Mytilus edulis: one gene and its partner. The protein of the gene in region 2 purifies or fractionates together with the protein of the main gene of each other region. This does not show direct contact. Links are inferred from orthologs where the notes say so. Each region holds a gene or a part of one and is shown on either strand. Other genes may lie near its edges.

The links. The genes of interacting proteins can lie anywhere in the genome.
Region 1: the proteins of enhancer of mRNA-decapping protein 4-like (region 2) and mRNA-decapping enzyme 1B-like purify together in Homo sapiens (affinity purification with mass spectrometry; 3 studies listed by BioGRID and IntAct, with this or other methods). This does not show direct contact. The link is inferred for Mytilus edulis from reciprocal best matches to the Homo sapiens genes EDC4 and DCP1B.

Annotation. Positions count from the first base shown.
Region 1 is NC_092344.1:318,997-329,531, reverse strand, and holds the start of mRNA-decapping enzyme 1B-like, read right to left. Parts: upstream 4,705-10,535; 5' UTR 4,669-4,704; coding exon 4,549-4,668; intron 1-4,548. Other genes in the region: muscle calcium channel subunit alpha-1-like, read left to right, coding at 5,150-5,168. UniProt on the Homo sapiens protein: May play a role in the degradation of mRNAs, both in normal mRNA turnover and in nonsense-mediated mRNA decay. May remove the 7-methyl guanine cap structure from mRNA molecules, yielding a 5'-phosphorylated mRNA fragment and 7m-GDP.
Region 2 is NC_092348.1:37,221,967-37,233,228, forward strand, and holds the start of enhancer of mRNA-decapping protein 4-like, read left to right. Parts: upstream 1-6,227; 5' UTR 6,228-6,470; coding exon 6,471-6,570; intron 6,571-9,580; exon of another isoform or gene 9,581-9,715; coding exon of another isoform or gene 9,716-9,829; intron 9,830-10,306; coding exon of another isoform or gene 10,307-11,262. Other genes in the region: uncharacterized protein, read left to right, coding at 9,716-9,829, 10,307-11,262. UniProt on the Homo sapiens protein: In the process of mRNA degradation, seems to play a role in mRNA decapping. Component of a complex containing DCP2 and DCP1A which functions in decapping of ARE-containing mRNAs. Promotes complex formation between DCP1A and DCP2.

The DNA.
Region 1 (10,535 bases), on a different chromosome or scaffold from region 2:
GAATGTGTCAAAAGGACTACAACCAGACCAATGAGAATACAACAGCCAAAGGCCACCAATAGGTCTTCAATGCAGCGAGAAACTCCCACACCTGGAGGTGTTCTTCGGCTGGCCCCTAAACAAAAAAATCTACTATTTCAACTTCAGTGAAAATGGACGTCATACTAAACTTCGAAATATACACAAGAAACTACAATTGAAAAACATACAAGACTAACTACATGTATATATATAACTATATATTTATATAAAACAATGTCCTTATTGCATATAAGTCATAATGATAATAATCACAAACAAGAATGTGTCCCCAGTACACGAATGAACCACTCGCACTATCATTTTCTATGTTCAGTGGACCGTGAAATTGGGGTAAACCCTCTAATTTGGCATTAAAATTAAAAAGATCATATCATAGGGAACATGTACTAAGTTTGAAGTCGATTGGACTTCAAATTCATCAAAAACTACCTTGACCAAAAACTTTAACCTGAAGCGGAACAGACGGACGAACGAACGGACGAACGAACAGACGGACGAACGGACGCATAAACCAGAAAACATAATGCCCCTCTACTATCGTAGGTGGGGCATAAAAACAAGGCAAGGTATACAAACATAGACAAACATAAGCTCTAATGAGCTTTTAACCAACATAGATGGAATTTCACTTCTCAAAGAAGTTGACAACATCCCTGTACTCTCTCATGGAAGGAGAAGTCATTTCTCCCTCTCCAAAATATAAGATTAGACCCCGATTCATCATATTGAGCAAAGACATCAGTTATGATTGCTGATATGTTTGTGAAAAACTCCTACAGAAATATCCAGTCCAAAAATTGAAACTTGTTCATTTAAAAGAACAGGGCATTATGAAAAATGTCAAGATCACTTTCACATAATTTTGTCTAAAAAGTCAACAGTTGTAAGAAGAGATTGCACACAAGATTTACACATTTCTAGATCAAAAATCTATTATAGCAGAACTTTATTATAAAGCACAACACTGAACACTTACAAAAGTATATATGCTAATGTTTTCCTTATAAACTAGTTTTGATAAAGGAGATTGAATTGTCTCCCTTTGTACACTTAAAAATTGTGACAAGCAATGTGATGAAAATGTAAGTTAAGGATGATAATTAATACTTTTTTTAATTAATAAATGTATCTAAAAGTTATATTAACAGGCTATTATTTCAACTTGGATTTTTTTTAAATTATGGAATTTGCACAATTGCTTAATTTTTAATAAATTCCCTGTTTATTCTGTATTTAATGTTCTGTGCGGTGCACAACACTTTCTATTACAAAGACGATAGCACATTTTCAATAGAATGTCCTGCGCCACACACAACACTATCAATACGAAAAACATTGTATGAAAAGTGTAATGCACCACTCAAACATTAAAGTAGAGAACAAACATGGAATTTATCAAATATTTCAAGCACAAGAAATTATCCTAATTCCATGATTAAAAATAATTCTTAGTTGAAATAACAGCCTGTTTATTATTACTATCAATCATTAATTAACCAATCTATGGTTTCATTATAAAATTGCTGTCTTTTATCAAGTATTTTGTCCCATCTTACAATCTACAGTGATGGCATATTTTAGAGCCAGGACTATAAAAACACAAGTAGTTGTCTCCCATCTAACAGGAGAACAAATAAATTTGTATATTATCTTTTAACCAATTGAACCTTAGATAAATACATTCACCTATTGGTCAAGAGGGAGGAAAACATGTTCAATGATTAAAAAATCTTTTTGTTAAATGGCATGTTCTCAAATTACGTAATTATACCTGTTCAATTAGATATGCTGAATTATGCAATAAATTAATAATCACCTAAACAAGTTTCATGATTTACTTATTAAATCAATTAATATGCAACATATGTTCCGTCATTATATAACAAATATATTTTAGAGGAGTACATGTATTTGAAAAGTCACTATGAAACAAAGTTTATCTTTTTGCATATACCTCGTCCTGTATGTATATATAATTCGTATATATAATTAGTCTTTCCTAAATTGAGGTAAATTTTATGGCCTTCCAAAAACTGTTTGGATCCCTAACATCACAGAAGAGACATTAATTGTCGAAATCTGGATATTGTGTTCTAATTTTTGCATCTTTTGTTTGCAGTATACTATCTTTTCCCCAAGTTTTATATTGTTTTCTGTTTGGTATTTAATTCATAATAAAGACACATTTTGTTACACATTGTGATCCATTTATTTAGCAATCACCAATGTCAGTCAGCAGGGTTTAAGAACATCAGCTGTTCGACCTGTTAGTCAAATACGCTTTGTAAAACTTTTGTTAAAGTATACTTTTCACTTTTTTGGTCTTTTAGAAAATGTTATTTGTGCTGTATTTAGACCCCTCTACCAAGAAATTTGTTTTGCATCCTCATATATATATTCAAAAAGTACTATCATAGGTTTATGAGTTAAAAAAGACATTTCAATTTTAAAGCCAAAAAATGGCATTTTTCCACCAAAGGGAGATAATTTGGAACTTTTTCAATGATGTATACATTTTAAAAGTCATCTGGGGCCAACACAAATTGTTTGTATTGAATGATTTTTGTACCATATAATAAGTAACAACTACAAAAGGTAACAAATAAAATTTGAAATGAAAAACAAATGTTTATTTTTTTTCTGAAATTTTTATACCCTCGAGCCTCCTTAAGTCTTTATTGTTGGTCCTACATGTTCTGCAACATCACCTGTTAGTGCTTAGAAATCTTCACATAGGCAGTCTGGTATAGACCAATCATGGAAAAAAGACTTCTCCTTGGGTTTTAACTTTTATACACAGATACATGTAATATGAAGATTATAAGAATTTACAAAAGAGAAAAATACTCTTCTTCTATATCCAGATATTAACTATGGTCAGCAGGGTTCTCCCCAGATATTTCATTTGGCATCCTGGTAAACAGGGAAAATTTAAACTATCTTGTTTCTAAAAATTATAGCATCACATCCATAACATTTATATAATCTATAATAAAACCATTTCAAATAGCATCACATTTAAGATTATAGCATCATATTACCATGATGTTAAAAGGCCCTGGGGAGAACACTGGTCAGGTTGTTGACTTTTTGACACATTTCCCATTTCCATTCTCAATTTTATTTTGATAACATTAACAAACAAAGGGGTAACTTCCATGAGTATGATGAGGACACCAATACAAGAGAAAACATCAATAGCATAATATAAGAAAAACACAAATTACAAATCAATTTCAAACAAACTGCGCGCCGTGACAAAGTTACTGAGAATTGTCGGAAATTACGCGCTTACCACAGCGCTATCCAAAAATCTTGGGGAGAACACTGACAGAGATATCAGTTAAAGGCCGATTTTGCGCTGAAAAATGGTAAATGTGATCTGTATTAATATATATTACATCTGGCCCTATTGAAGCAAAGGGGAGGTTGGGCCAGGATGCAAGGCAGCTTAGGCTAGTAGGAAAGGGGATTAGATTGCAGTTTAATGTAAAAAAACAATCATATTTGCTACATTCCCCCCACATTATTTGGTTATTATTTTAAAGAATACTGCTACTTTAAATGCTCATCAGACTTTATCATGTTTATGTTTGTATGTTTTTCCTCTGAAGAATCAAAATAAATGTTTCTGTGCCTTAACAAAAACAACTGTCATCTCAAACAGAGATCAATAGTCAATACATACATTGCTGAACATCTATGAGGGTAGTAATGGGGTACATGAACCTTTATGACAAATTAAACAGTTAAAACTCTGCACAATGAAGTAAACGGTTTTTTGGTGCATGAGGATTATTTTGACGCATCACATTAATTGTTTCAAAAAATAATGCATACAATAATTATTTGAAACCTCTCGCAACATAATAAGGATACTGTGATCATGGTAATGAATCATGATAACATTTTTACCAACTTGACGCAAACTGTAGCCAAAAATACGTTTGAAGCCTGACAGTAAGGGGCATTACTGCCCACAGGCTCATGTATACAATGTAATAGGGCTCTTCACGGTTAGTTCGGCCATATTGGATAGGGGGCAGATTTTTTGGAAGGAGGTGGAAATGGTATGAAAGTGTGGGAAATCCTATGTGTGTTTCCAAGCAAAAGCTCTGTTTTAATGATGTTTTCCCGTATTTTTCACACCATTTTTACCTCTATTATGAAAATCTGCCCCCTATCCAATATGGCCGAACTAACCGTGAAGAGCCCTATTATATGGTTCAGTCTTCAGATAATCTAACACTATGAATTTTGTAAATTGTAGTGTTTTTACCTATTGAATTAAAGTCACACAAATAAACTAATATCAGAAGTTCAAATAATCTATAAAGACATCGTGGGTGACAGTTTCTCAAAATGTCATATAGCAATTGCAAAGAAAAACTTCTTTATTCTTAAGTTAAAAATAGAAGATTTATCATAATAATATGACAAGCAGTAAAAGTAGAGGGTGTTTTTACAGAAACATGCTAATTAATCAGTGAAATGATTAACACAAACCCATTCGCTTGACTTCGAACTAAAGGAATATAAGGCAACTTGAGACGCAGTGTCAACTATGTCCGTTATATACGGATCTCTTTGCTGCAAAGCAGCCAAATTCATTCGACCTTCCGCCATTTCCGCTGATCGATGAAGCCTCGCATTGAATATTTACTCCGTTACATTTATTATAAATAGCATTGCTTTAAAATACAAACAAATAACAACATGCAAATAAGTATAGCTCTTTACAAATGTTATATTTTAATTAATGATTTTCCATTATTCAATTAATTTTTGGTGACACACTTACTTAAATTGAAAACAGGTGCCCGAAATTTGATCAAGCGGCACACTTACGTTTCACGGTACAGCGAACACAAGTGTACCTTTACTTCAGTGTCGTATGTCGATGGATTACCGCAACATATATTTACCGTGAAAAGAAGTGAAAAATAGTTTTTCCCCGCAATTTACAAATGGAAAGATGAAAAATATACCAATAATATGGAAGAAAACCCCGGATGATGATGATACAAGAAAAAAGACAAAAATGGACGAATTTGATGATTTGTAGCAAAAATTATTTTAGGATTTTTCTCAGTTTTAAGATCCAAAAATGGACAATAAAGGTCCAGGTAAGAACTTAATATTCCGTGTGGAAACCTTTATTATAAAATCTGTGTAAGCATTCATAAATTATTGATGTTTTATCAATGGATGAGTGATAAACATGGCACCCTCCTGTTGGTTACTGATGCTTAAGTAAAGATGGAAATAAAATGTTTGCATTGTATTTTCTACAATCAAAGAGGGCTAAAGATAAACTATTTAAAACAGCTCTCCTCAATTAGAGAAAATAGTTTGCTGTAAAAAATATGTTTTTTATTTTTGATTTGAAAAAAAATTAAGGACAAAATTAGCTGTAAATTTAGGGATAGATTTTTTTTTAAATTTTGTTTTATAACATTTTTTCCAGAATATTTATCAATTTATACAAATTTGCATTTAAAAATAATAATAATATAACATGTAGCCTCCAAAGTCAATGAGTAGACATCAATAAATTGATTATGTAAAAATGTAGATTAGAAATGTTAAAGATGTTCATACATTGTAATGATGTAGGGAAATTCCCAGTTATTACAAATTTAGTGATCATGTTTCATGAGTTAGAAGTGTTCTATTATACAATGAGAAAGTGACCATTTCCTCATTTCATAATGCTTTTTGCTTTAGAATGTTATCAGAAGTGTGTATTGCCTAGTTTAAATAAAAAGACAAGATTTTCATATTTGATTTGATTTAGGAGTGCAAAACAAAAATATATTTCATTCTGATGTATATGAAATGTTTATTTAATTATTATTTTAAAATTTGGTTAAAAATTAATTCCATTTTCCTATTAAAAGTAATAGTAATATATACATTTTCTATTATTAAAATCTACCTAACCAAAAAGGCATATATACATATTATAATAAAAGAAGATGTGGTACATGTATGACTTCCAATAGGACAACTCTCCACAAGAGACCAAAATGACACAGAAATTAACAACTATAGGTCACCGTACGGCCTTCAACAATGACCAAAGCCCATGTACATATATACTACCAAGGATTTGTATCGTAAGAAGGATTGCAATGTTGTGGACTTTGGCATCTAGACTGTTTACAATGTCTTATGCAGTTCAAGATCACTATACAAATCCTTGGTACTACTTATTAGAATTCAAATAATAAGGAATAATACAGTTTGACTGTAAACTACATTGTACATGTACTGATGTAGCAGGGACGGAACCTGGCATTTGTATAATGGGGGGGTTCCAACTTTATGTCCCCATTCAAATGCATTGATTGTCAAGAAAAAGGGGGGTTCTAACCCATTTAAAGGATTATTAATATCTATCCTGGACCTTTTTTATATAGATTAGACCGTTGGTTTTCCCATTTGAATGGTTTTACACTAGTAATTTTGGGGCCCTTTATAGCTTGTTGTTCGGTGTGAGCCAAGGCTCCGTGTTGAAGGCAGTACATTGACCTATAATGGTTTACTTTTTTAAATTATTATTCGGATGGAGAGTTGTCTCATTGGCACTCACACCACATCTTCCTATATCTACTTAAAATTATATTTTATATGATATCTTGGACCTATAACAACGTTTGAAAGATAGAAATATTGCTCTTCTGTCCAATCTTCCTGCAGAGAAGTTGCACGCAGATAAAGGGGGCTCATGGGTATAAATGATTTTTTTTTTAAATATATAGGATTTTACTATTTTTTTTATATAAATGAACTTTATCATATACTAAATAGAAAAATAGAATAGAAAAATAGAATAAAAGTGGGGTCACCGTTCATTTGAGCTCACAATCTGCTATCCTAAGAAGCATGCATTTTTGTTTTAAGGTACTTTTTTCTGTTGAACTACATGTATAATAGGAGAAAAATATGTACATTGTAATATCGAAATAAAAAAAGAACTAAATTACAAAAATCCCATAAATTTTACAATTGTCTAGTTTACAAAATGTAAGTAGTTTATTTGAAAATAATGGGGAAAAAATATAGGTCAACAATGAGTTTAAAAAGATATCAGAAATGTCATTTTTGCACCAAAGGGAGATAACTTGAGCTTTTTCAATGATATACATATGTTTCAACTCATCATGGCCAAAAGGAATCAATTTTTGGGGTTGATTTTTGTGCCATATCATAAAGTAAGAATTAAGTGTAATAACTAAAATTTATAATAAAGAAAAAAAACAAGTTTAAAATTTTTCTAAAATTTTTGAACCCTCCAGCCTCCTGCTACATTTGTGTACATGTACTTCAAATTTTGTTTGTCACCACATATTTTTTGTTATATATTATACTTGACAGTGAATTCAAAGATGTTTAACAAGTTATTTCAACAGTACCATAAATATATCTGCAACAAATGTACATGTATCAATAATCTGAACACTTTTGTGACAACCCTTCAAAGGAACTAATAGGGAAGTAGTTATTTGAGAGCCTTTGGGCCCCAACTGGGAATGTGCTTTAGTCAAATTTTTATACATATATATGCATATTTTTACATAAAATTCAGAATGGAAATGGGGAATGTGTCAAAGAGAAACAACCTGACCAAAGAGCTAAAGACAGCTGGAGGCCAGCCCATCAATGCACATCTACCCTACACCCTACAGAAAATATAAGAAACTAACCAAAAACGAATAGATTAAACAAACAGATTTATTTTTAAATTTAGTTTTTAAATGTTTTAAAGAACAATTCTCTAAATAGTAATAACAAGATGTGGTATTAGTGCCTATGACACAACTCCCCATCCAAAGCCACAATTTATTAAAAGTAAACAATTATAGGTCAAAGAACGGTCTTCAACACTGAGATTTGGCTCACATCGAACAGCAAGCTATAAAGGGCCCAAAAACTAGTGAAAATTTATACCAATTCAAACATAAAAGCCAAGGTTTATAAATCTATATAAAAGATATGAGAAAGCCTGATTTCTTTTTGGCAGTTTTTTATACATGTATTTTGAAGGAAAAACAATTGAATAGCAAGCTTGTTTTTCTCATCTATAGGGTGTTTTGAGAATTAAAGAAAAAATATGATGATTATATAAACATAAAATGAGTTTTACTGTATTTACAGGAAATGATCTGTATTAATAATTAGGATTATTATGATTAGATACAAAATGTAACTTAAATGTATTGATTATTTGATGAATAGAGGAGGAATGTATGATGTAAGAAGTATGGAGGGATTGTCAGCTAGAGATAAACATTCTTAATTAGAACCATACTACACCAATTTAATGTAACGAAACAGTGGGCATCTCTGGATGATGGTCTATCATCTCAGTATCAGACACACATGCTATTTATATTAATGTTCATATATAAGAATGTAAACTCTGTGAGCAGGGGGATGTATACTTTTTGTCAGGGTGGGTTGGATGTTTACTCTGTGGTTAGAGAGTTTGTCCACTATTTAATTTATATTCGGTGGCTGCAACAAAGAAAGTATTCTTGAGACAGGGTGATGGAACACAATTGTGAAATAATCTGTTCTCTCATGTTCTCTGATACTCCTTGATAGAACTAATTTTATTTTAACACAAATGGGGTCAATTAAGGAAAGTTTGTTCTGCACAATTATTAACCTATAATTCTTAGCCAGAGTTGTTCAAGTGCAACTGAACTACATGTTTATTTGTTTCTGACAAGTAAAGAATTGCACAAATGGGGTATGACAAATTTCACCTTTCACCAATTAAAAAAATCTCAATGTTTATGAAAATCAATGGCAGTTTCCTCATTGTTCCTGTGGTAATTTGAAATTCTACCATTATTAATAGCAGCAGAGGCGGATTTAGGGGGGGGGGGGGCAAATTCATGAGCAGGCTTAAGAGGGGGCCCACTCCAGTTACGCTTCAGTGATTCCCTATATAAGCAACAAAAATTTTGGTTGCTTATATAGGGAATCACTGAAGCGTAACTGGAGCGGGCCCCCTCTTAGGCCAGTCATTGGGCCCCCACTTATAAAAATTTCTGGATCCGCCACTGAGCATAATGTGATTTTATGAACATATACATGTATATACACATTAAGATAAAACATTAAAAACTTGTAATGATAAACTTAAAGTATAGAAATAGTTTGGAAAAAAAACCTATGCACATTTTAATGACATATATACACATTTGTACATGTATTATCATTTAAAAGCATATTGTTTAGTCATATTAGTCTTTTTTTTGTCTCGACTTTTGTAAGGTGTAATTTACATTTTGATTTTATTTAAACCTACATGTACCCTTAATTTGGTTAAATAACATAAAATCTTGGAATCAGAAGTGACAGCACGATGTTAATGTTTGTATATACTTGTGACAGTTTTCTTTGTTCAATATAGAATAATTCTTTGTTCACTGTAGGTTCTGTTAATAATTGATAACTTCTGATTAGCAGGTTTATAGCTAACAACAATTAACTGGTACCTTTGTTTGTGGTTACTGAATCAGTACCAGTGGAATCCCATTACTAACAATAATGGAATTTTGGTCTTGGAATTACATTAAATAGACATAAAAACTCATTCAGCATTAAGAATATTTATTGTTCCAATTAAGGGCTCTTGACCGACAGCTTGACATAAATTTATACACAAAACATTATCCTATGCTATATATGGAGGCTGCAAGCATTTATACACAAAACATTATAATATGCTGTGGTGGCTGCAAGCATTTATACACTGCTATGGTGGCTGCAAGCATTTATACACCAAACATTATATGCTATGGTGGCTGCAAGCATTTATACACAAAACATTATCCTATGCTATGGTGGCTGCAAGCATTTATACACCAAACATTATCATATGCTATGGTGGCTGCAAGCATTTATACACCAAACATTATCATATGCTATGGTGGCTGCAAGCATTTATACACAAAACATTATAATATGCTATGGTGGCTGCAAGCATGTATACACCAAACATTATCATATGCTATGGTGACTGCAAGCATTTATACACAAAACATTATAATATGCTATGGTGGCTGCAAGCATTTATACACAAAACATTATCATATGCTATGGTGGCTGCAAGCATTTATACATAAAACATTATCCTATGCTGTGGTGGCTGCAAACATTTATACACCAAACATTATAATATGCTATGGTGGCTGCAAGCATTTATACACAAAACATTATCATATGCTGTGGTGGCTGCAAGCATTTATACACAAAACATTATAATATGCTATGGTGGCTGCAAGCATTTATACACAAAACATAATATGCTATGGTGGCTGCAAGCATTTATACACAAAACATTATCATATGCTATGGTGGCTGCAAGCATTTATACACAAAACATAATATGCTATGGTGGCTGCAAGCATTTATACACAAAACATCATATGCTATGGTGGCTGCAAGCATTTATACACCAAACATTATCCTATGTT
Region 2 (11,262 bases):
ATGTCTATAACCCTAACAATAATGATGTATATAACCCTAACCCTAATGATGTCAATAACACTAACCCTAATGATGTCTATAACCCTTACCCTAATGCTGTATATAACCCTAACCCTAAGTCTGTCTATAACCCTAACCCTAAGTCTGTCTATAACCCTAACCCTAATGATGTCTATAACACTAACCCTAATGATGTCTATAACCCTAACCCTGATGCTGTATATAAGCCTAACCCTAATGTTGTCTTTAACCCTTACCCTGATGCTGTATATAACCCTTACCCTAATGCTGTATATATCCCTTACCCTCATGTTGTCTTTAACCCTAACCCTTATGCTGTGTATAACCCTAACCCTAATGCTGTCTATAACCCTAAACCTAATGCTGTCGATAACCCTAACCCTAATGCCGTCTATAACCCTAATCCTAATGCTGTATATAACCCTAATCCTAAGTCTATCTATAACCCTAACCATAATGCTGTCTAAAGCCCTAACCCTAATGCTGTCTATTACCCTAACCCTAATGCTGTCTATGACCCTAATGCTCTCTATAACCCTAACCCTAATGCTGTCTATAATACTAACCCTAATGCTGTCTATAACCCTAACCTAATGCTGTATATAACCCTAACCCTAAGTCTGTCTATAACCCTTACCCTAATGCTGTCTATAACCCTAACCCTAATGCTGTCTATAACCCTAACCGTAAGTCTGTCTATAACCCTTACCCTAATGCTGTCTATAACCCTAACCCTAATGCTGTCTATAACCCTAACCATAATGCTGTCTCTAACCCTAACCCTAATGCTGTCTAAAACCCTTACCCTAATGCTGTCTATAACCGTAAGCCCAAGTCTGTCTATAGCCCTTACCCTAATGCTGTCTAAAACCCTAAACGTAATGCTGTCTATATAACCTCACCCTAATGCTGTCTATAACCCTAACCCTAATGCTGTCTATAACCCTGACCCTAATGCTGTCTAAAACCCTAACCCTAATGCTGTCTATAACCCTAACCCTAATGCTGTATATAACCCTAACCCTAAGTCTGTCTATAACCCTAACCCTAATGCTGTCTATAACCCTAACTCTTATTCTGTCTATAACCCTAACCCTAATTCTGTGTATAACCCTAACCCTAATGTTGTCTATAACCCTAACCCTTATGCTGTCTATAACCCTAACCCTAAAGCTGTCTATAACCCTAACCCTAATGCTGTCTATAGTCATAACCCTAATGCCGTCTTCAACCCGAACGCTTATATTTGATGATGAAATTTATTAATGTGCGTGTCAAGCTTTTTTTTTATTATTAAACTTTGATGGTTACAGAGATCTTATATTAAGTTTTGCATTCCCTTAAACGTGTACAGAGCAAGGATTTGCTATAAAATAGATTCAAATGAAGATTTAGGACTCAAATATAGCAAAATTAATATCCTTTTCATAAGTTTTTTGTATTTCACATCGAACTTGAATCTGTAGATAGTTGTTTTTATTTTTTATCACTGATTTAGGGTTCTTAGTGGAGAGTTTTCTCATTTTAAATCATACCACATCTTCTTATATTAGTGATCGACACATTGTTGTTCATAGTATTTGTGACATTTGTTGTTAATATAACACATTGTATTTATGTGAGATTAATTAAACACTTCTGCTATTAGAAACGTTTATAGTTTTTTTAATTGGAAAGATGCTTTTGTGCTTTTGTGTAAAATTGCTTGTTTTAAGATTGTAACATAGTGATGACTGCTGTACCCATATTCTGACTATTTTATTTATTATGTCTGTTTTGATCACGCATCGAGGTAAAAATAACGGAATTTTATGAGACTGTCGTACAAGTGAGAGGCTTAGCGCTATAAAACCAGGTTCAATCCACCGTTTTCTTGAAAATACCGGTACCAAGTCAGGAATATGACAGTTGTTGTCCATTCGTTTGATGTGTTTTGTCATTTGATTTTTGCCATGTGATTAGGGACTTTCCGATTTAACTTTTTTCAGAGTTGAGTATTTTTGTGATTTTCTTATTTTTTTCTTATAAAAACCCAAACTATGATGAACCTAGTATCAAGATTAAATAATGAAAATCTAAACCCACTTCTTAACGAAGCCTTTAAACTAACTAAAAATGTAGATATTAAAGGAACATACTCTTGGTTTACTTTTGGCAAAAATTTGTCACAAGAAATAAATATTGACATTAAACTTATTGAAGAAACTAAGACTTTACAACAGACTAAAAATTCAAAACCCCAATATTAAAAAAAGGTTACTATACTATTATCAAACTAAAATTGGTTATAAAATAAATGACTTGAATGATAATAGTAAAATATATCTATATAAATTTTTAATTTTGAAGTTACAAAACGATATTAACTTGTCTAAGGACATCAAGATAATGTTACAAGGGAAGGAATTAAAATACAATCCAAACCCCAAAAATTTAGGCCTTACTTTAGATGAAAAATGTAATTTCAATAAACACATAGACACTGTTGAGCAAAAAGCACAAAAAAATCCTTAGGGATAATCAGAAACATCAAGGGAATAGCAAAGGTATCTACAAAAATTTTAATACAAATGTATCAAAGTATAGTGCTGTGTGCAATGTTTTATGCTAGCAAATCAACAACAACACGCATATAAATAAATTAAATGCTATTCAAAGAAAAGGACTAGCCTTATGTCTCGACCAAACAACTACAGCTAATATAGAAACCTTAGAAGAAGTAGCAGGAATACTTCCACTGGACCTCAAAAGAGAACATGCCGGTATAAGACAAATTGCAAAAATAAAATATAAAGTCACTATCCCTATCCCTATTAAAGAAATTTTTGAAGATTGGAAAAATATAAATGAACCTGAAAAAATGATCTCACCAATTGGAAGAATGGTATTAGTCTGAAGACATGAAGAGGTCAACAGAGATTGATTCTGATTGTATAGAGTCTCAATTTGAATTCCGAGGGTAAGCAGCCTCAAAATCACCACCAGAGTATTGGAAAAATCTCGGAAGTTCAAAGTCTAGATTAGAGGAACAAGCATTTCAGGGAAAGACTATTAGTTTGGAAAAATACATCAACTAAAAAAATTCAACAATAGCTTTCACTGATGGCTCCTGCAAAGGAAACCCAGGTCCATGCGGGGCTGGGGCAGCTATTTCAATACCAAACAACACAGAACATGTGGAGTTAACATAGCCAGTTTCCAATAGAGGATCTATTTTATTAGGGGAATTAGTAGCTATCAAGCTGGTAATAGATTTTCTTATAAATCCAAACAACAAAAAAAAACACAGAATCCATCAAAATTTTCTCAGACAGCCAATCAGCAATTAGAATTCTAACTTTAAATTGGAAATTGAATAATTACGGCAAAACTATTCGTGATATTAAAATCGGTAAAATCGGTATTTTGGCACTAAAATCTGAAGGAATCATTGTTTCCATTAAATGGACCCCTGGCCACGCTGATATACAAGGTAAGGAACTAGCAGACCAACTAGCTAAAAAAGAAGCATAGGAGGCAGAAAAAATAGAAAGCATTCCAATATTTACAAAATAAGATATACAAAAAGGAGCAAAAGACAGTGTAACGTTAAAATGGCAAAACCGATCGGACACCAGTGATAAAGGAAGAAGATATTATTCCTTTCATCAAAATGTAAAAAATACACTTCCAAAAGACAAACCGTCAACTGAAATATATCGGATATCAACTAGTTTAAGAACAGGTTGTAGGTATCCCCATGGGCACTAATTGTGCCCCTTTAATGGCAGACTTGTTTTAGTACTGTTACGAATCACAGTTTATGACTAAACTCAGTAAAGACCCGTCGAAGTTGCATTTAATTGATAAATTCAACAACACTTACCGTTATCTTGATGATATTTTTTCGTTAAATAATCAAGAATTTTCTCAATATACTGCTGAAATTTACCCCAAGGAACTTACTTTAAATAGATCAAATTTATTCGGTCCTGGATATAGATATTTCGGTTTTAAACGGGAAACTCCACACTAAAATTTACGACAAAAGAGACGATTTTTCGTTCCCTATTGTTAATTTTCCAGTTTTAGATGGTGATGTTCCTTTGGCATCATCTTACGGTGTTTATATTTCACAACTTGTTCGCTATGCCCGTGTCTGTTGTGACGTTTTTGATTTTGACGATCGCAACCTATGTATTGCTGGTAAATTATTAAACCAGGGATATCGTTACCATAAATTACTTAAAACCTTTACTAATTTTTTCCATAGATATAAAGATTTGGTTTTGAAGTTTGGTTGTACCTGTAGAAAACTTATTTCAAACGGGATAGCACATCCTCATTTTTACGGAAATGTTGTTAACCGTGCCCGGAAATTTGGAAATAATCCATGTAAACTTGTCGCTCCTTTAAATAAACTTATTCTAAAAGGTTACCTATTCAACACTGTAGTAAGATCATTGAATATTGTTTTTATTGGTATAAATATTGATTTTGTTATCAGTAAATTAAAAGCTAACTAAATATTACCAGTATATTATATACATATACATATTCATGGATCTACAATATGTCGATACCTGTAACTTGGCATTGCACAGGGTCATGTTTTTCTCTGGCTGTTTATGACGTCTTTACACTAAATCCATTGGATGTTTGATGTGTACGGATTGATGGTTAAGTCTTAGATGCATGATTTTTTTTATTAGTTGTTAGAAGCTTTGAACTAGCTGTCAGATAACTGCGAGTACTCTCAGATCTGTTCATTGCGTCTTTTTGTGTCGGGATGTATAAGTACCCGGCCACTTCCACTTATATTTTTGTCCATCTGATGAGTTTAACCTTTTTCAACTGATTTTTATAGTTCGTTCTTATGTTGTACTGTTATACCACTGTCCCAGGTAAGGGGAGGGTTGGGATCCCACTAACATGTTTAACCCCGCCACATTATTTATGTATGTGCCTGTCCCAAGTCAGGAGCCTGTAATTCAGTGGTTGTCGTTTGTTTATGGGTTACATATTTGTTTTTCGTTCATTTTTTTTACATAAATAAGGCCGTTAGTTTTCTCGTTTGGATTGTTTTACATTGTCTTATCGGGGCCTATTATAGCTGATTATGCGGTATGGGTTTTGCTCATTGTTGAAGGCCGTGACCTATAGTTGTTTTAATGTCTGTGTCATTTTGGTCTTTTGTGGATAGTTGTCTCATTGGCAATCATATACCACATCTTCTTTTTAATATAGGATATTGTAATTTAAACTCATACAAATCAATGATATGCCCAGCAGTCATCGACAAATGCAGCTGTGGACAAATAGAAACAGTTGACCATTATCTTCTGTATTGTGAAAGTTATGAGGAGGCTAGAGAGAAACTCAGCTCTGCACTCTACTTCATAACATCAAAACTAACATTTGAATCAAAAGTATTATTAGCAACAACAGAAAATGAAAATTACAAACATCACATAGAAGATATTCAACATTTGTTAGGGGTCTTTATTAAAGATACTGGAAGGTTCACAAAATAGATAGTTAAGGTTTTATATAAGGGTTAATTATTTATTCATTTTTTTTTTAAATATTTTAAAATTTTTGTTATTTATTTATTTATTTTTCTCTGCAGTGCCACATCATAAATACAAATGTACTTATGAATTTTATACAACAGCGACATAAAATTACCAGAGTGATCGAAAATACAGAGAGATTATAGTGTCAAGTTGACACTTACTAAAGACTAAATTAAGACTTTAAATCTATAAATGACCAAATGCAATACTAACTTTCACACCCAAATAAAGAAACAAGAAACAAGAAATGTTAACCAAATTTAGAATAAGCGACCATTGTCTTTTGATAGAAACGATATTTAAAAAATACCAAGAAACGAAAGAAAATGTAAATGATATGTAATATCTTAGATGATGAATTCCATTTTCTCTTTAACTGTTCGCAAATAAAGAATGATACATCACACATCATTCTATAATATTCAAGAACATATATACACCATTTTCCACTAGAGCCATGTGATATTCAAAGTATTGACTACGTGCGGAAATAAGAAAATAGATAGATAGCGCTAGCACACCTATCTACTTTATAGGTGGCAACAGAGCTACCATAAATCAACACTTTAAACTAAAAAAATATTTTTTTTTAAGAATTAAAAAAAAATAAAACATATATAAAAATCAGATTTATTCATGGACGTAAACAATTTTAAAAAAGTAATTAAAATTGAAACAAAGTATAAAATTAATGAGATAGATATATTTTGTGTAATCACGCAGTAACGTGGTTAATGGAGGCCGCCATATTTTGGATGAAAACAAACTTGTTGAAAGTCGAACCCTGCTTTAATGTTTCGTCTGGTTTCGTCAATTATCGTGATTTATCAATAACAATTTGTACTGAAATTTAAAGGAACATTTACTTTGAAATTGAAACTGTCATTTAAAATCATGGACGATAAGGGTAGCCCGTCGTCATCTCTAAACTCAGCGAGCACCGGCGACACAGGTCATCTCTTGCATGAGCTTATGAACTTGCAGAAATCAAATGGTAAATTATTAAACACATGAAAAACACCGTGATGATTTAATATTAATGGAACGAACACAAATAAGAAAACACCATGAAACATGTCGAACCCTTGTAGCTAAAGAATAACAGTTTAGGCACTGGCTATAGTTTGGAAACAACAAATTATTATAATGTCTTTTTTTAATGAAAAATTATTGTTAGTTGCTGCATTAAATTATTATTGCTGTAGTCAAGGTCAGATAGGGTACTGATTTATAATTACGGATGTATCCTGGTCTCATCGGTTTTCTTGCTATCATAATCAAGAATTCATTGTGACGTCCCGTTTGTTTATATCCCATAGTACATCATTAAGAGAGAACCAAGTTATAGTGAACTACGTTTAATATACAGCATGGTTAATCTACATTTTTTACAAGAATAACATGTGTAACACAGTTGGGCGTGAGTGCCAGTGCACATGAGTTATTACACGTGCATTATCAAAGTACTGAAATACGGGAAGGTCTAAAAACAGGACAGGTAAAACCAGGACAGTTATTTTCGATACGTTTTTATCTGTAACTTTTGTTTTACTCAACATATTGTTAAAATTTAAATTTCATAATAAAGAACATGGTATTTACTTATATTATTTGCAAAAAATATAAAAATGAATAATAACTAAGTTAAAAAAAATCTGCCAGGACAGTTTAATTTTATGAAAAAAATGGCTGAAATTGCCGAGAAAAGTTTACTTATAATTGAAATATTTTTCCCAAAACAAAAATCTGGCATAATATTTTTGTACGATTATAAAGATTATGAAATATTCATTCTAAAAATCTATAATTTAATATTTTTTTCAGCTTTTAAAGGTAAAAAAATCTGCCAGGACAGTAGCCTTTCACGTTGGAAATTTTGTTGAAATTATTTCAAAATACAAATACAAAGTTAAATATCTTCTTCAAAATAAATGTCTGGTAAACAAATGTTAGTTCATTGAAAAGTTTAGAATATAAGCTTTATGAAAATATAAAATTATATGAACTTTTATGTCATTAACACCAAAAAAATCTGCCAGGACAGTAGCCTACTCCGCTAAATTTTAAGAAACAAATGGCTGAAATTGTCGAGAAGAGTTTACCTATAATTGTTATATTTTCTTCAGTACAACTGTCTGGCATAATATTTTTGTATGATTATAAAGATTATGGAATAATCTTTCTAAAAACCTATGAATTGATATTTTTTTCGTCTTTTAAAGGTAAAAAAAATCTGCCAGGACAGAAGAATTTTATGTTAGAAATTTTGTTGAATTTGTTCAAAATCAAAGTATAAAGTTTAATATCTTCTTCAAAATAAATTTCTGGTAAACAAATGTTAGTTCATTTAAAAGTTTAGAACATAAGCTTTGAGAAAATATAAAATGATAATTCATTAACGACAAAAAAATCTGCCAGGACAGTAGCCTACTCCGTTTGAATTATCAGCTGGACATTAGCTTAATATGCTACATGTTTTATAAATGGCAGAAATAAACATTATTTTTAATCATAAATAAAATAGTATATTTATTAACTTATCTGTCTTTTTTTTAAATGATAATTAGGACTAAATCATTAAAAATAAAACTATAAATTAAAAACAAATTTGCCAGGACAGTACTATTACATAGGAAGAAGTGAAGAATTCTCAAAGATTTTTTTTATTCTATTCAAAGTGTTCAGTTTGAAATTTATCCGTGATAGAGTCATTAAAGTGAATATTTCTAGAAAACATAATTATATTGGTGTGGTTATTAAAACACTATTTGTTGATTTAATTCGATTTCTATTCATTGTATCAAAGGCAGAATTATGTTTTGACAGTAATAAAAACTTCAAAGTCACTGATTGGTGTCAAATACTCAAAAGGTGTTTATTCACTAATAAGTAATGTGTTTAGAGCACAGGAAAGTGTCACTTTTTTTATCCTCTTACATAAAACTGGAGAGTTTCCAAATGTTGCATTTTTTAACTTCTTTTTGCAATTTACACCTTTACATGTTTTCTAATGAATCAAATTTGCCATGCACAGTCACAATTCAGTACATTCCACAACACTAGTTAACCTTTTTCAACAAAAAAAAAATCACGAGATAATCTATACTAGTTCTAGTTGTTCTACATGTACCCAACCTGAAAAACAAAATTATAGAGCATTTGCAATTGCGAATATCCCACAATCTATTGCATTAATTAAATTTTATCTTTAAATATAAAATCAATTAGTTTTCCTAAAATTCAAGCTAAATATCTTCATTACCACACACTCACTTTACGGTTGACATGACAGAATATACAAATACACAGATTCGATGACAGATCGTTAAGTTTAGCACGTGCCAACTAAATATTTAGCTATAGGACGACTCATGGGACACTTTTTATGAAATTCATCTATTATCAAATGAATATTTTTATCTTTTCCCAAAATTTAATGCTAAAACTTAACAACGAATTATAACAACAAAAAGTAATAATCTATCCAACTTTCGATTTTGATTTGAAACAAATTTGTCCACAAGTTGAGACATAATAAGTAACTGTCCTGGCAATTTTTTTTATTCACTTTTTTTTTTTAATTTTATGATTGGGTCTAGCTTTTACTTAATGGTAGTATCAAAATTGTACTTTAGACAATCGCAAAAAAAAACTATTCCAATATTATATTTAAAAAAAAATAATTGCGTTGTTAATTTCTGCAATTAATTCAGAAATTTAACGGGCATAGGACATTTGAGCGAAAAAGAAAAAAGCACATAGGGTCATTTGAGCGCCGACTTCATAGGACATTTGAGCGCCGGGATATTAACCTTACCTGAGTTTTCAGACAGGACATTTGAGCGAAATTTTCCCTGATAATTTTACACGAATTAAGATTTTTTTTTAAAAGTAAGAAAAAAAAGTAAGATTTAGTTATAAATATTTTTTATTTTATTTCACACCCGAGTAATTCGACCGGTTCTGGCTGGTTTATGTAAGTGAAATCCTAAGTTGATCTCTATTTACCAATCAATTCTACTATAATTCATTGGCTATGCAAATTTTCTTTGTTCTAAAATTCTTATATATATATCTATTAAGTGAAATGTCCCTTGGCACTTGAAATCTTAATACTAATAATACATGTACGTGTTAAAATGGATATTATTTTGACCGAGACTAATAAGGGAAAAAGAAGCCTTGTTTGTGACAGTTTCCGATATAGAGTGGACAAAACACTAAAAGGAGAAGAAATATCCTGGAGATGTACAGTAAGTACCTTTTTTTACAAATTTAATGTTAATGTAAACTACTTGTTCGTCTGTTACGCTTCAACTTCCATAACTTCTTTTAATTTTGATTTATATCTATATCATTATATGTCTATCTTATACCTCCTTTAGATTAATTTTTTAACACATTTGAATATAAGCTACCACATATAGGGTTAGGTATCAAGGCTCCATGTTGAAGGTCGTACTGTAACCTATATAACATTGTTAGGTTGATTTTCTAGGCACTTTACAATATTCATACAATACACTGTAAAAATTGTGCTTAGAGCCTAAACATGTTTAGGAAAATGTTTAGAAGCTAAACACATAAATGTCTGTGGTGTTCCCATTCTAAACATGTTATGAATTTCATTTCATTTCATTTCATACTACATCTTATTTTTATGTCTTGCAATAGCAAATGAAAAAGCATTTAAACACTTCAATTGTATTTGTCCTTTCAATATTTTTCAGGCAAAAGGTTGCAAAGCAAGACTGAGGACGGATTGTACCGGAACCGTTATAATTCAACAGAAAAATACTCATAACCATGATACCAGTGATCGTGACAATGAACGTCACTTGCTGCGGGTACGATCAAAAAAAAAAGCGGATGATGATATTGCTCAACGTCCTTCAAAAATTATCCGTACAGAGTTACAGAACATGGATGAAGCAAATCTAAAGTCTGAAGACATTGGCAGCGTTTCAAAGGCTATATATAGAAAGAGGCGTAAATCTCACCCTGCACTTCCTAAATCTAGAGAGGAAACACACCAATCATTAAAGAAGATTAATATTCAGTCAAATAAATTTGAAAATTTTGTGCAGTTTAATGATGAACAAACTGGTATAATTATTCTTACGTGTCCAACCAATCTTGAATGTTTATGCAGTGTGCCCGAAATTTTTATGGATGGTACTTACAAATATTGCCCAAAGTTCTTTAAACAGTTATATACTATTCATGGCTATAACAAAGGAAATTATGTCCCTCTTGTATTCTGCTTACTTCCTGGAAAGTCTGAAGAAATTTACGTGAATTGCTTTTCCTCAATTGTCAAGCTATGTTCCGATCAAGGTCACACACTTCAACCGAAAGCAGTACACGTCGATTTTGAAGAACGGGTAATGAAAGTTATGAAGGATTTTTTCCCGTCTATAGAGATCAAATGCTGTAGGTTTCACTTAGGCCAAGCCTGGTGGCGAAAAATCCAGAAAGTTGGACTTAGTCAACAATACAAAGAGCTTGATTCAGACATTAGTAAATGGCTTAAAGGGATTTTTGGGATAGCCTTTTTAGCTCCAGACGAAGTAGCCGACTGTTTCGTAGAAGATTTTATGGCCGTTGTACCTAACGACAAGCCTTGTATAGAATTTGCAGATTACCTGACTGATACTTATATAACAGATGAATCGTTATTTCCCCC